Linked DNA regions of Mus musculus: region 1 is reported to be linked to region 2. Evidence: microRNA targets listed by miRTarBase, many of them from high-throughput screens and not tested one by one. Region 2 holds a microRNA gene; the other region holds the end of a gene's coding sequence.
What was found. Region 2 holds the annotated microRNA mmu-miR-466p-3p (AUACAUACACGCACACAUAAGA, at 4,648-4,669, shown strand). A microRNA usually pairs through its seed, bases 2 to 8, with sites in the 3' UTR of a target mRNA and lowers its output. Matches are read on the target gene's strand: a 7mer-m8 pairs with bases 2 to 8, a 7mer-A1 pairs with bases 2 to 7 and ends in A, and an 8mer does both.

Region 1 (7,149 bases), not on the chromosome of region 2:
CGACTGTGGCATTTGTTGCCACAGACACGAGTGCCTTTCCCATGGGTATCCCTTGGTCTCTGCCCTCTGGAAGCTTGTGGCTGTTACCTGAGACATGGGCGCAGCCAGGGTAGACTGCATCTTTTTTTCTGGAGACAAAGGCCAGAAGAATGAAAACCCCAAGGTACACAGTCCATGGGTTCACAGGGAGCCTGAACCTGATGCTGCTAACACAGATGTCCCCTTCCTACAGCTGACCCCCAGCAAGGCATCCTCCTCTGGATGATCTCTGATCCCTTCTAACTCTGCCTCTCTTCCAGGGACCCCTATGTCATTGCCCTGAGGTCGGTCACGCTGCCCACGCACCATGAGACACCGGAATACCAACGTGGGGAGACTCTCTGTTCAGGCTTCTGTCTGTGGCGTGAGGGGGACCAGATGACTAAGGTAAGACGTGATGTCCCCTCTATACTTCCACCTATGGATAAACTGAACTCTACGCTGTTCGGCTGGGCCCTTCCAGACCCGAACCCCCATGACCCCCCAGACTTTGCAGTCTGAAAGGAGCTCGTCTGGAGCTTGAGTGTGGTCAGAGAGCAAACTGCTATTGGGGCTTGGGAAAAGCTCTGGACACACTACAGAAAGCCCAGCTCTGATCTAAAATTCTGCCATTGTTTGTTTAATGTGTCTCCCTTTTCGTCTGGGAGGGCTTTATGTGGCTTTGAGGGCATAGAAGGCTCAGCAGGGGAGTCAGAGTTAATTGGAAAGGTAGAGCAGAGCTGGGGGCAGGTATGCTGCAGTTCCCCTGGCATGCAGTTTTCCTTGCAGCCTTGCCCAGGTGCTGACTCGGCCAGCATTGCTAAGGACCTACACAAAGGACATAGTCCAAGGCTTATGTCTACCACGTTTCTGTGACACCCCACCCTCCCAGCACTGTTATAAAGTGGATTCAGGTGTAGGTATTAGAGTCAATTCCTGTCCCCTTGGGGCCACCTAGTCAGCAGGGAGGTGTACAGTGACCTTATGGTTTGCTGTGATAGGGCAGTCAGAGTTGAAGTTCCCTGTGTATCTGGGGGACCTATCAAAAGAGGCTAGGTCTATCACTCAGGTTTTCTAACTGATCAAGATACAAGGTTGTATCTGTTGCTTCCCCAGAAGGCAAGCAAGGCTGCTGACTCTCACCTCCCCATTATGCCTCCTTGAACTTGACTTCCTGTCCTGCAGGTTTCTTACTACAACCAGGCCACCCCCGGCTTTCTCAACTATGTGACCACCAATGTGTCCGGCCTGTCCTCAGAATTCTACAACACTTTCAAGGCTTGTGAGAGTTTTCTGTTGGACAACCGGAATGACCTAGCTCCCAGCCTCCAGACCCTCTAGACACCACCCATGCTGCCCCAGGTCTTACACAGTGCGTGGAACAAAGCAGAGACATTTATTCACCTTGACTCCCCAGGGAAGCCTTCCACACTAGATGGTCCAATCCTACTGGATGGTCGGTTGCTGCTCACATCTGCCTGCAAGTCTTTCCAGTACTCCTGGGATATCCTGTAATAGACTCGGGTCCTGTCCACGGCCCTGGCCGCCCACAATCCAGCCCACAAATCCACATGGCTGTTCCCAGCAGTGCTGTGGTACACTGTGACAGTGGCTCTAGGGGAGGAGGCCAGGAGCCTGGCCACAGTGTTGGCTGGACTCTGACTCAGTGGCCCAGCCTGCAGCTGGAAGGACACAGGTTGCCGGAGTCCCTGACACAGCTCCAGCATATCTGTGACCATCTGCTCCTGATAACCACTGTCCAGCATCTCTTCGGGCCAGCCCGGTGCCACGGTCACATGGGGGAAGACTTCAGCCACAGCTGTGAGCAGCTCTCTGCCAGCTATGTGGCCAGGGACCACAAAACTACCATGTGAGACTGTGGACCCCACCCACACAGGCCAGGGCAGATGGCCAAGGGTAGAAAGGTGTGCTAACGTGGCCAGGGATGGCCGGAGAGCTTCGGGTTCCACTATGTTCACATGGATGCCCCAGCGCCTGGGGTGAACAGCCAGACGCAGCAGACACGACTCCAGTGTCAGAGCAGGGCCACCTGGGGTGTGTAGGATGGGTACAGGGTTCCCAGCCTCAGGTTCCTGGAGGCCAATGTCCAGCAAGATCATGCCTTCTCTGTCTGGAAGAGGCAACAGTTTGGAGATCCTGTCATCATGGGACGTCAGTGTTTTTTGTTAAAGGGGACATACATGGGGGCATGTCATGGGGATAGATCAAGAGGCACCAGCCATTCTTGAGTTTGCCAGCTCCATCCCAGGCTCCAAGTGCTGTGACTGGTGACTCTCAGGCAGGCATGACAAATTGCTGGCCTCCATTCTTGGCCTTCCTAATCACTCCCCACTCCTCTAGTCACAGTGTGGCTGAGGACTCAAGGCTGTGAAGACCAGGAGTTCCTGCTCTTGACATTATTCCTCCCACTTTGTATCCAGTGTGTGGCTTATTGTGTTGCCATGGTAACAGAGAATCAAGTTACCCACCCAAGCAAATGACAGACCTGTGGGTGAGGGTAGCCAGGAGCTTTAGAGCTGCAGGCAGACTCACCAGGAACTGTAATGGCTGCTCTTCTCCCACTGCCATTCACTTCCAGAACTAGCCACTCTACCTCCAGACCATCACCCTTGGGCTGCTGGAGAAGAGGGATCAGGCTGCCACCTGTGTAGTAGGTTCGCTTCCGGGTGGTGTTCACTGTGGGACCCAAAATTGCCAATGTGAAGGGACCACTCTCCACAAATTGCCTTGTGTATGCACTGGCTCTCCCGCATCCTAAGCCCTGTGGCTGTCACTTCTCCCTTTTGGGTAGATTGGAAGTCATTGTCTCATGGCCTGACATTCAACAGAATTTACTGGGCCAGAAACCAAACAGAGCTAGAGATGAGGGGAGGGGGCTCCAAAGCTTGTCTCCTCCCTTTCCCAGGCACAACTCCCTCAATAGGAGTGGAATCTGATGTGACTCCTTGGGATGACTTAAGTGTAGATGCCCCTAGACACAGGGTCAAGAGAACAGGGCATAGTGGCATCTGGCTCATGAACTAGTGGGCACGTAAGAGGGCTGTGCTTGAGACCCTATTGCCAAAGGTGAATGGTGCTGTGGAAGCCAGGGCACTCGAGTGCGTGCATGTGTGTGTGTATGTGTGTGTATGTATGTGTGTGTGTGTGTGTGTGTGTGTGTGTGTATGTGTGTGTGTGAGACTTGGCTAGGTTGTGATCAGATTGCACTCCTACAAAATCCTTGTGGTTTTGGACTTCCATTGCCCTCTCTATCAACCAGACTCCTGTTCTGAGGACATCGCTTGGATAACATAATATCCCAGGGGCAGAAGACAAATTCTCAGAATAGCTCCTGTCTCCTGTTCCACGCAGAATTTTCCCCATCTAGACCACCCTTTCTCCGCTTCCATGCCCACCCAAGGCTGCCCTGAGCAGAACACAGCCCACAATTCCCCTCCCAGGCTCCCTTCTTACAGGCCAGCTGCTTAAACTGCGACAAGACAGGCTCAAAGAGGTCATAGTAGATTTGGTGAGCGGCACTGTTGTCCCGGATGAAGAGGAGATCTTCTACTGACACGGGGTCTGAGGCACCCTGCCACAGTGTTAGGCTGTACCTGGAACCAGAGAGCTGACTCAGGGCCCGCCTGACTCTTGGCTCTACTTGTGCGCTCAGAACTGAATGCCAGCTGAGCCCAGGAGTGGAGCATCTGTTCTCTAGATTCCCACCAGAGGATGATGGAGAGCGGAGGTTCAGAGGGCAGGAGGATGTGCACCCCTGGGATGTCTGTTTCTGAGTTACCCACCAATGGAAGCAGTGACCAGCCAGTGCCCAGAAGAGTACAAGCCAGAGGCCGAGCATAGGAGGTCGTTAGGGCAGTGGGACTGGGACAAGATGATCTTTAGGACCCCTCTTGACGTGTTCATCTTGGGGCAGAGCCCAGGATAGGTTTGGGACCAGTAGAGGGGTTTCACCTCTCAGATTGGCTCAGAAGCCAGCTGAAGTGGGGCCAAGCAGCCCGTGTCATGACAGCTCTCACTGGGAAGGTGACCTTCTGTGGCAGCGCTCCGACCAGCTCCTGCATTGTTTCCACCATGGCTTGGGTGTATGTGCTGTTTGGCAACTGAGGCACATAAAGAGTGGTAAAGCCTGGAGAAATGGTGGCCTTTGGATATTTCTCCTGGACAAGAGTCAGAAACCTGCAGAGAGAGACCAGAGCAGAGATACCCATCTTTCCCTTCTTGTAGGCTCTTGCCACAGCGACAGGAACAGTCAGGCCTATTGAGACTCAGCTTGGAGATTGACATCAGAGCCCTAAAGAGCAGCAGTGATTTGTACATCCTCCTGCTGATATCACCACCCTGTGCAGTCAGAGAGGTCTGGGATCCGGTCTCTACTCTGCATCTGGTGATCCATCTGATTCTCAAAGATAGTGACTGTCAGGGCAGGGCCTTTTAAACATCCCCACATCGACAGAGGGGCTTGAGTGAGACTTGTAAGGTGTGCAGATCTGCATGCTGACAGATGGCTTCGAGTCTCCAAAGTTTCAGATTCCTAATTTTTTTTTTCATATGAGAAGAGCCTGTGCCACATGTCTATAATCTCAGCACTTGGGGGGTGGGAGGCAGGAGGTTCAGGGCTTCCTTCATCCCCAGATACATAGCAAGTGCAGGGCTAGCCTAGGCTACATGAAACTGCCACAAAGCAACACATTGAAAAGAGTTATTTGAATTTTGTTCTGATGCAAATTTTCAATAGGAAATTAATGTCACCCACTGCTCGGCCCCCAGATATATAACTCAGTACCCTGAGGAGAGAATCCTTGTTTGTCTTGGGCCCTAGCCTACATTTTCCAAATATAACTCATTTTGAGAATCAGTAAATGTTGGCCGGGCAGATGGAGGTGTCTGCAGAGCACAAAACTCGAGGACGGAAAGACCTGTGGGAACCTTTGCTCTGCCGTTTTGTAGACTTAGACCATTCATTTAACCTTTCAAAGATAGTTTCTATACTTACAAGATGAATATGACTAGTTGCTACCTCATTCTCTTAAGAGTTCAGCTGTATTCTGCAAATAAAATGCTTGAAACCGTGCCTGGGGTACACTAACCACTCAACAGCATGTTTCTGTCATTGTGAATTTTCACATGGGGAGAAAAAAAATATCCTAGCCTGTCAGGGGCTGGGTCTTTTGGAGAACTGGAGGGGCGGGGGAGGCATCGCTTTATAACTTTCTAGCAGGCCAAGTCCTGTGCATGTCACTGGGGAGACAGAGAGGATGTGGTCACAATGGAGCAAGGGTAACTAACACGTAAGTCAGCAGAAATGGTCCAACTGAGTCAGGCATGAGGGGACCTGATCTTCAGGAACCTGGGGTGCTAGAGACACTTCTGGAAGTGGCAGGGACTGGGGAAAGACTCAATAGAGCAAGTGTGTGTGTGTGGGGGGGATTCAGAATGCTGATGTACACCAAGTGTAGCAGAGATGGGGACAAAGGATCAAGAGTTCAAGTCCAGCAGGAACCGCATGCATGCAGAGTTCAAGGCTATGTAGGGCTACATGAGAACTTGTCTCATCCTCTCCCCAACAAAAGAGGTAAACAAATCAAAGCAAAAAACAACCACCACCACCAACCACCACCACCACAAAACCAAGAGACAGTAGTGGCCTATAACTAAATCTGGTACCAGGAGACAAAAGCTAGAGGATCCCCGAAAGTATGAGGCCAGCATGATCTACATAAACCGTGTCTAAAAAACACATAAAGGAATGGGGCTGGAGAGATGGCTCAGAGGTTAAGAGCACTGGCTGTTCTTCCAAGGACCCAGGTTCAATTCTCAGCATCCACATGGCAGCTCACAGCTCTCTGTGACTCCACTTTCAGGGATCCAACACCCTCACACAGACGTACATACAGGCAAACCCCACAAATGTCCATAAGATAAATAAATCATTAAACACACACTCATAAAGGGAGCAGGCATCCAAGATAGGAGGGAACAGTGCATGCGAATGCAGAAGTGGTTGGTGAGAAGGCTCAGCAGGTAAAAGGTGCTTGCCACTGAGACCCATAACCTGAGTTCAAGCCCCGGGACCCACATGCTGAAAAGAGAAAACCAAGTCCTTAATCTCTGACTTCTACACTATCACGGCAGCACACAGGCGGCATCAATGCCCAAAACAAAACGAGCAGGCTCAGAGGTGAGGTCTCACGGTGCGACTGGCAAATGCCACAAAGGTCCCCCAAGGTCCCTTTTTATGCTCAGTGATGACAGAAGAGGGCTGGACTCAGCTGGGGAGAGGGTGAACACTTACTGGGTAGCATTGATCTCAATTGAGATGGGCACATTGGGGCCCCTCAGGATGTCAGCATTGATCCACACTGGTCTCCGAATCCTGCCAGCCTCAGTCAGCTGCCGAAGGAGGTCCAGGGAGGGGCCTACAGCCTTGAGACTCTTGAAGTCCAGTTTGATGCCTGCAGGAAAGGGGTGAGGACTGGGGAACTGGACTTACTCAGTAGAAAGAGCAGGGAAGGGCAGGAGGGTCTTGGGAAAGAGTGGGAAGAGGGGGGCAGATGGAGATGGGCTGCAGGGGACAGCTCTGAGGCAGAGAGAGCCAACACTGAGAAGAAGGCCTCCCCCTTTTCTTCCCAGATGGGCAGAAGCAAAAGCTAGTTGAAGGCATGGGCTGGTACAGGGAGACTCAGACATAGAAAAGGCCTTCAGTTTCTGAAGTCCAGTAGGCCCCCAAGAAGGGATGTCCGAGAGGTTGACTAGATAGAAAAGGGAACCAGTGTGAATGAATGCCCATCTAACTGTGGAGACAAGAGATGAAGTTTCCAAGGTAGAGATCCTGAAAGCCAAGCCAGGCCAAGGGGATCCATGGAGGGAGGGTTTAAACAGAAGAGTCATGGGTGTGTGTGGCAGTTAGATGAGGCTGCACGTGTGAAAAATGATGTGGCTGTGACTGGAGTTACAGCCGGGAGGGGCAGCTACTGGGCAGATGAGGAAAATGAGGGAGCATGTGGTTTGGGGCAAGGTGGGCAAGGCCTAGACCCAGACTGGAAAGGGGAGTTGGAGGGAGCAGGTTTTGGCTCAGAACACAGTTCTGCTGACCCACGAGGGACATTTTGA
Region 2 (7,043 bases):
GCATTCGCCAATCCCTTTGAATGATAAGTGATGTAGAGTTTTAGAGATTATGCAATAGGGGACATTGAATGGACTCACTCACCAGGTGTAAAAGATTGACAAAGTCAGGAGGATAAGGATTGCAAATTCATGCTTAACTTCATTTGGAGATCATCTTGGTATTAATGTCATGCAACCCATGTATGTGCATGTGTGCTTACTTGTATGTGCATTGTATGTGTTGACATGATATACATAACATAAACACACGTGTTTATGCAAGCACACACACACAGGAAAAAATTGCATTCATTTATACGTTTGAATGACATGTGACTCAAAGTTTTCAAGATTATGAAGTAGTGGGACAGTGAATGGTTTTACTCATCAGGTGTGAAAGATTGTGGATCAGGAGTTCTAATTCATGCTTTACTTCATGATGACTTAGAGATATGCCTGGGATTCATGTGATGTCCCCTATGTATCCCTATCTGTATCTGTTTCTATTGTGTGTGGATTTGAGTATATGGATGTACCTATCTACACAAATATGTACATGTACACAGACACAAACAGAAACACACACAAAAACATCAGTGCAACTCATCGATCCATTTGAATGACATGTGACTTAGAGTTTTAAGATTTTTCAGTACTGAATGGGGAGAGGTCTCACTCAGTAGGTGAAATCCCTTGACAGAGTCAGGTGGATCAGGAGTTCAAGTTCGTGCTGAATTTCATGATGAGTTCATGATCAGCATGGGATTCATATTATGCCCACCAAAATGTACATGTGTGTATAGTTGTGTGCATATTCACTTCTCTATATGAATATGCATATACACACATGCACACACATTCATAGGAATGGCCAGAGCTATGTCTCAGTTAGGAGGTGAGCACTCTTGCCAGTGTCAGGAGGATGAGGAGTTCAAATTCATGTTTAACTTCATGATGAGTTAGAGTTCAGCATGCGATTCATGTGATGCCCACCAAGAATGTGCAGGTGTGTATAGTTGTGTACATATTCACTTCTGTATATGAATATGCATATACTCACATGCAAACATACTCCCACGAATGGCCCGTGCTATGACTCAGTTAGGAGGTGAATACTCTTGCCAGCATCATGAGGATGAGCAGTTCAAATTCATGTTTAACTTTATGATGAGTTAGAGATCAGCCCGGAATTCATGTGATTTTCCCTGTGTTTGTGTTTATGTGTATAGGGAAGTATGCCTGTACATGCGCGTATATGAACATGCATATATATATATATATATATATATATATATATATATATATATATATATATATACACCCACACAACTAGGGACACATTCATGTGCACACAAACACACATGGCAGTCATCCATTTGATTTATACGTGCTTAGAGTTTCATTGAGTGTATATTCATGGTATAGGGAATAATGTCACTTATCAGATGAAAACCACTTGCCAGAGTTAAAAGTCTCAGGAGTTCAAATTCATGCTTAACTTCATAATGAGTTAGAGATCACCCTGTATTTGTGTGATGGATCCTAGGTATGCACAAGTGCATATAATTGTGTGTGCACGTACATGTGTGTATATGATCATACATATAAATACACACACATACAAATGTATTCACACACACAGGCATGCACACTCACACACATAAGAATGACACTCATTGATCCATTTGAATGATTTATGTCTTAGAATTTTGCTGATTATAAAGTAGAGGGACAGTGAATATTCTCACTCACCAGGTGTAAACAATTGTCAGTGTCAGGAGGATCAGGAGTTCAATTTCATGCTTAACTTCATGAGCAGTTAGAGATCATCCTGGAATAATGTGATGGCCCCTATGTATGTGCCTGTGTGCGTAAGTGCCTGCATGTATATGCGTGTATATTTTATGCATATACATACACACACCTACACACACATGCACACAGACATGCGGGAATGGCCCTCACGGATCCATTTGAATGAAATGTGACCTACTGCTTTGGAGGTTATGTATGACTGGGCCAGGGTGAGGTCTCACAAACCACAGGAAAACCCTTGGTAGATTCGAGAAGATCAGGAGTGCAAGTTCATGGTAAAGGCATGATGAGTTAGAGGTCATCCTGGCATTCATGTGATTGCCCCTATGTATGTGTGTATGTGTTGATGTGTGTGTACATGTACATGTGTGAATATGATATACATATACATACACGCACACATAAGACACATATGAGCACACAGACACATGGGAATGGCACTCATCAATCCATTTGAGTGATAAGTGACTTAGAGTGAAAATGCTTGCTAGAGTTAAGAGTATCAGGAGTTCAAATTCATACTTATCCTCATGAGAGATCAGCCTGTGATTCCTCCATGTATGTGCATGTGTGTATAGTTGTGTGTGCATGTTCATGTCTATATTTGAATATACATAACATACACACACACGTATAAACGCAAGCACACATACACAGACACAGGAATGGCATTCGCCAATCCCTTTGAATGATAAGTGATGTAGAGTTTTAGAGATTATGCAATAGGGGGCATTGAATGTCCTCACTCACCAGGTGTAAACGATTGACAAAGTCAGGAGGATAAGGATTGCAAATTCATGCTTAACTTCATTTGGAGACATCTTGGTATTAATGTCATGCAACCCATGTATGTGCATGTGTGCTTACTTGTATGTGCATTGTATGTGTTGACATGATATACATAACATAAACACACGTGTATATGCAAGCACACACACACAGGAAAAAATTGCATTCATTTATACGTTTGAATGATACGTGACTTAAAGTTTTCAAGATTATGCAGTAGTGGGACAGTGAATGGTTTTACTCACCAGGTGTGAAAGATTGTGGATCAGGAGTTCTAATTCATGCTTTACTTCATGATGACTTAGAGATATGCCTGGGATTCATGTGATGCCCCCTATGTATCCCTATCTGTATCTGTTTCTATTGTGTGTGGATTTGAGTATATGGATGTACCTATCTACACAAATATATACATGTACACAGACACAAACAGTAACACACACACAAACATGAATGCAACTCATCGATCCATTTGAATGATATGTGACTTAGAGTTTTAAGATTCCTCATTACTGAATGGGGAGAGGTCTCACTCAGCAGGAGAAATCCCTTGACAGAGTCAGGTGGATCAGGAGTTCAAATTCGTGCTGAATTTTGTGATGAGTTCATGATCAGCATGGGATTCATCTTATGCCCACCAAAAATGTGCATGTGTGTATAGTTGTGTGCATATTCACTTCTCTATATGAATATGCATATACACACATGCACACACATTCATAGGAATGGCCAGAGCTATGTCTCAGTTAGGAGGTGAGCACTCTTGTCAGTGTCAGGATGAGGAATTCAAATTTATGTTTAACTTCATGATGAGTTAGAGTTCAGCATGCGATTCATGTGATGCCCACCAAGAATGTGCATGTGTGTATAGTTGAGTACATATTCACTTCTGTACATGAATATGCATATACTCACATGCAAACATACTCCCACGAATGGCCCGAGCTATGACTTAGTTAGGAGGTGAATACTCTTGCCAGCATCATGAGGATGAGCAATTCAAATTCATGTTTAACTTTATGATGAGTTAGAGATCAGCCCGGAATTCATGTGATTTTCCCTGTGTTTGTGTTTATGTGTATAGGTGAAGTGTGCGTGTACATGCGCGTATATGAACATGCATATATATATATATATATATGTATATATATATATATATATATATATATATATATACACACACACACACACACACACAACTAGGGAAACATACATGTGCACACAAACACACATGGCAGTCATCCTTTTGATTTATACGTGCTTAGAGTTTCATTGAGTGTATATTCATGGTATAGGGAAAAATCTCTCTTATCAGATGAAAACCACTTGCCAGAGTTAGGAGTCTCAGGAGTTCAAATTCATGCTTAACTTCATAATGAGTGAGAGATCACCCTGTTTTTGTGTGATGGACCCTAGGTATGCACAAGTGCATATAATTTTGTGTGCACGTACATGTGTTTATATGATCATACATATAAATACACACACATACAAATGTAGTCACACACACAGGCATGCACACTCACACAAATAAGAATGACACTCATTGATCCATTTGAATGATATATGTCTTAGAATTTTGCTGATTATAAAGTAGGACAGTGAAGGTCTCACTCACCAGGTGTAAACAATTGACAGTGTCAGGAGGATCAGGAGTTCAATTTCATGCTTAACTTCATGAGCAGTTAGAGATCATCCTGGAATAATGTGATGGCCCCTATGTATGTGCCTGTGTGCGTAAGTGCCTGCATGTATATGCGTGTATATTTTATGCATATACATACACACACCTACACACACATGCACACAGACATGCGGGAATGGCCCTCACGGATCCATTTGAATGATATGTGACCTACTGCTTTGGAGGTTATGTATGACTGGCCAGGGTGAGGTCTCACAAACCACGGGAAACCCTTGGTAGAGTCGGGAAGATCAGGAGTGCAAGTTCATGGTAAAGGCATGATGAGTTAGAGGTCATCCTGGCATTCATGTGATTGCCCCTATGAATATGTGTATGTGTTGATGTGTGTGTACATGTACATGTGTGAATATGATATACATATACATACACGCACACATAAGACACATATGAGCACACAGACACATGGGAATGGCACTCATCAATCCATTTGCGTGATAAGTGACTTAGAGTGAAAATGCTTGCTAGAGTTAAGAGTATCAGGAGTTCAAATTCATACTTATCCTCATGAGAGATCAGCCTGTGATTCCTCCATGTATGTGCATGTGTGTATAGTTGTGTGTGCATGTTCATGTCTATATTTGAATATACATAACATACACACACACACGTATAAACGCAAGCACACATACACAGACACAGGAATGGCATTCGCCAATCCCTTTGAATGATAAGTGATGTAGAGTTTTAGAGATTATGCAATAGGGGACATTGAATGGTCTCACCCACCAGGTGTAAAAGATTGACAAAGTCAGGAGGATAAGGATTTCAACTTCATGCTTAATTCAGTTAGAGATCATCCTGGTATTCATGTGAGGCCATCCATGTATGTGCATATGTGTTTACTTGTATATGCATTGCATCTGTTGACATGATATACAAAACATAAACAAACGTGTATATGAAAGCACAGACACAGAGAAAAAAATTGCATTCATTTATACGTTTGAATGATATGCGACTTAAAGTTTTAAAGATTATGCAGTACTGGGACAGTGAACGGTTTTACTCACCAGGTGTGAAAGATTGTGGATCAGGAGTTCTAATTCATGCTTTACTTCATGATGACTTAGAGATATGCCTGGGATTCATGTGATGCCCCCTATGTATCCCTATCTGTATCTGTTTATATTTTGTGTGGATTTGAGTATATGTATGTTCCTATCTACACAAATATATACATGTACACAGACACAAACAGAAACACACACACAAACATCAGTGCAACTCATCGATCCATTTGAATGACGTGTGACTTAGAGTTTTAAGATTCCTCATTACTGAATGGGGAGAGGTCTCACTCAGCAGGTGAAGTCCCTTGACAGAGTCAGGTGGATCAGGAGTTCAAATTTGTGCTGAATTTCATGATGAGTTCATGATCAGCATGGGATTCATCTTATGCCCACCAAAAATGTGCATGTGTGTATAGTTGTCTGCATATTCACTTCTCTATATGAATATGCATATACACACATGCACACACATTCATAGGAATGGCCAGAGCTATGTCTCAGGAGGTGAGTACTCTTGCCAGTGTCAGGAGGATGAGGAGTTCAAATTCATGTTTAACTTCATGATGAGTTAGAGTTCAGCATGCGATTCATGTGATGCCCACCAAGAATGTGCATGTGTGTATAGTTGTGTACATAATCACTTCTGTATATGAATATGCATATACTCACACGCAAACATACTCCCATGAATGGCCCGAGCTATTAATCAGTTAGGAGGTGAATACTCTTGCCAGCATCATGAGGATGAGTAGTTCAAATTCATGTTTAACTTTATGATGAGTTAGAGATCAGCCGGGAATTCATGTGATTTTCCCTGTGTTTGTGTTTATGTGTATAGGGAAGTATGCCTGTACATGCGCGTATATGAACATGCATATGTATATATACACACAACTAGGGACACATATATGTGCACACAAACACACATGGCAGTCATCCATTTGATTTATACGTGCTTAGAGTTTCATTGAGTGTATATTCATGGTATAGTGAATAATCTCACTTATCAGATGAAAACCACTTGCCAGAGTTAGGAGTCTCAGGAGTTCAAATTCATGCTTAACTTCATAATGAGTTAGAGATCACCCTGTTTTTGTGTGATGGACCCTAGGTATGCACAAGTGCATATAATTGTGTGTGCACGTACATGTGTGTATATGATCATACTTATAAATACACACACATACAAATGTATTCACACACACAGGCATGCACACTCACACACATAAGAATGACACTCTTTGATCCATTTGAATGATATATGTCTTAGAATTTTGCTGATTATAAAGTAGAAGGACAGTGAAGGTCTCACTCACCAGGTGTAAACAATTGTCAGTGTCAGGAGGATCAGGAGTTCAATTTCATGCTTAACTTCATGAGCAGTTAGAGATCATCCTGGACTAATGTGATGGCCCCTATGTATGTGCCTGTGTGCGTAAGTGCCTGCATGTATATGCGTGTATATTTTATGCATATACATACACACACCTACACACACATGCACACAGACATGCGGGAATGGCCCTCACGGATCCATTTGAATGAAATGTGACCTACTGCTTTGGAGGTTATGTATGACTGGGCCAGGGTGAGGTCTCACAAACCACGGGAAAACCCTTGGTAGAGTCGGGAAGATCAGGAGTGCAAGTTCATGGTAAAGGCATGATGAGTTAGAGGTCATCCTGGCATTCATGTGATTGCCCCTATGTATGTGTGTATGTGTTGATGTGTGTGTACATGTACAT

Region 1: the mRNA of Acot11 is a reported target of mmu-miR-466p-3p. Seed matches in the 3' UTR shown: 7mer-m8 at 3,166-3,172.

Annotation. Positions count from the first base shown.
Region 1 is chr4:106,742,539-106,749,687 of GRCm38, reverse strand. Acot11 (acyl-CoA thioesterase 11) reads left to right here. Exons shown (of 16, transcript NM_025590.4): 15 at 300-426; 16 at 1,204-5,127. The coding sequence ends at 1,359. It overlaps Fam151a (family with sequence simliarity 151, member A), which reads right to left. Exons shown (of 8, transcript NM_146149.1): 4 at 6,332-6,491; 5 at 3,991-4,215; 6 at 3,493-3,632; 7 at 2,572-2,715; 8 at 1,396-2,149. The coding sequence ends at 1,419. Among named protein-coding and RNA genes, the nearest start is that of Fam151a, 12 kb to the right of the region's middle.
Region 2 is chr2:10,491,673-10,498,715 of GRCm38, forward strand. Mir466b-7 (microRNA 466b-7) reads left to right here and starts at 4,596; the gene lies at 4,596-4,683. The region is part of intron 10 of Sfmbt2 (Scm-like with four mbt domains 2); the gene reads left to right. Mir467a-7 (microRNA 467a-7) reads left to right here and starts at 1,838; the gene lies at 1,838-1,920. It overlaps Mir466b-6 (microRNA 466b-6), which reads left to right and starts at 2,126; the gene lies at 2,126-2,215. It also overlaps Mir669a-9, Mir467a-8, Mir669p-2, Mir467a-9 and Mir466b-2.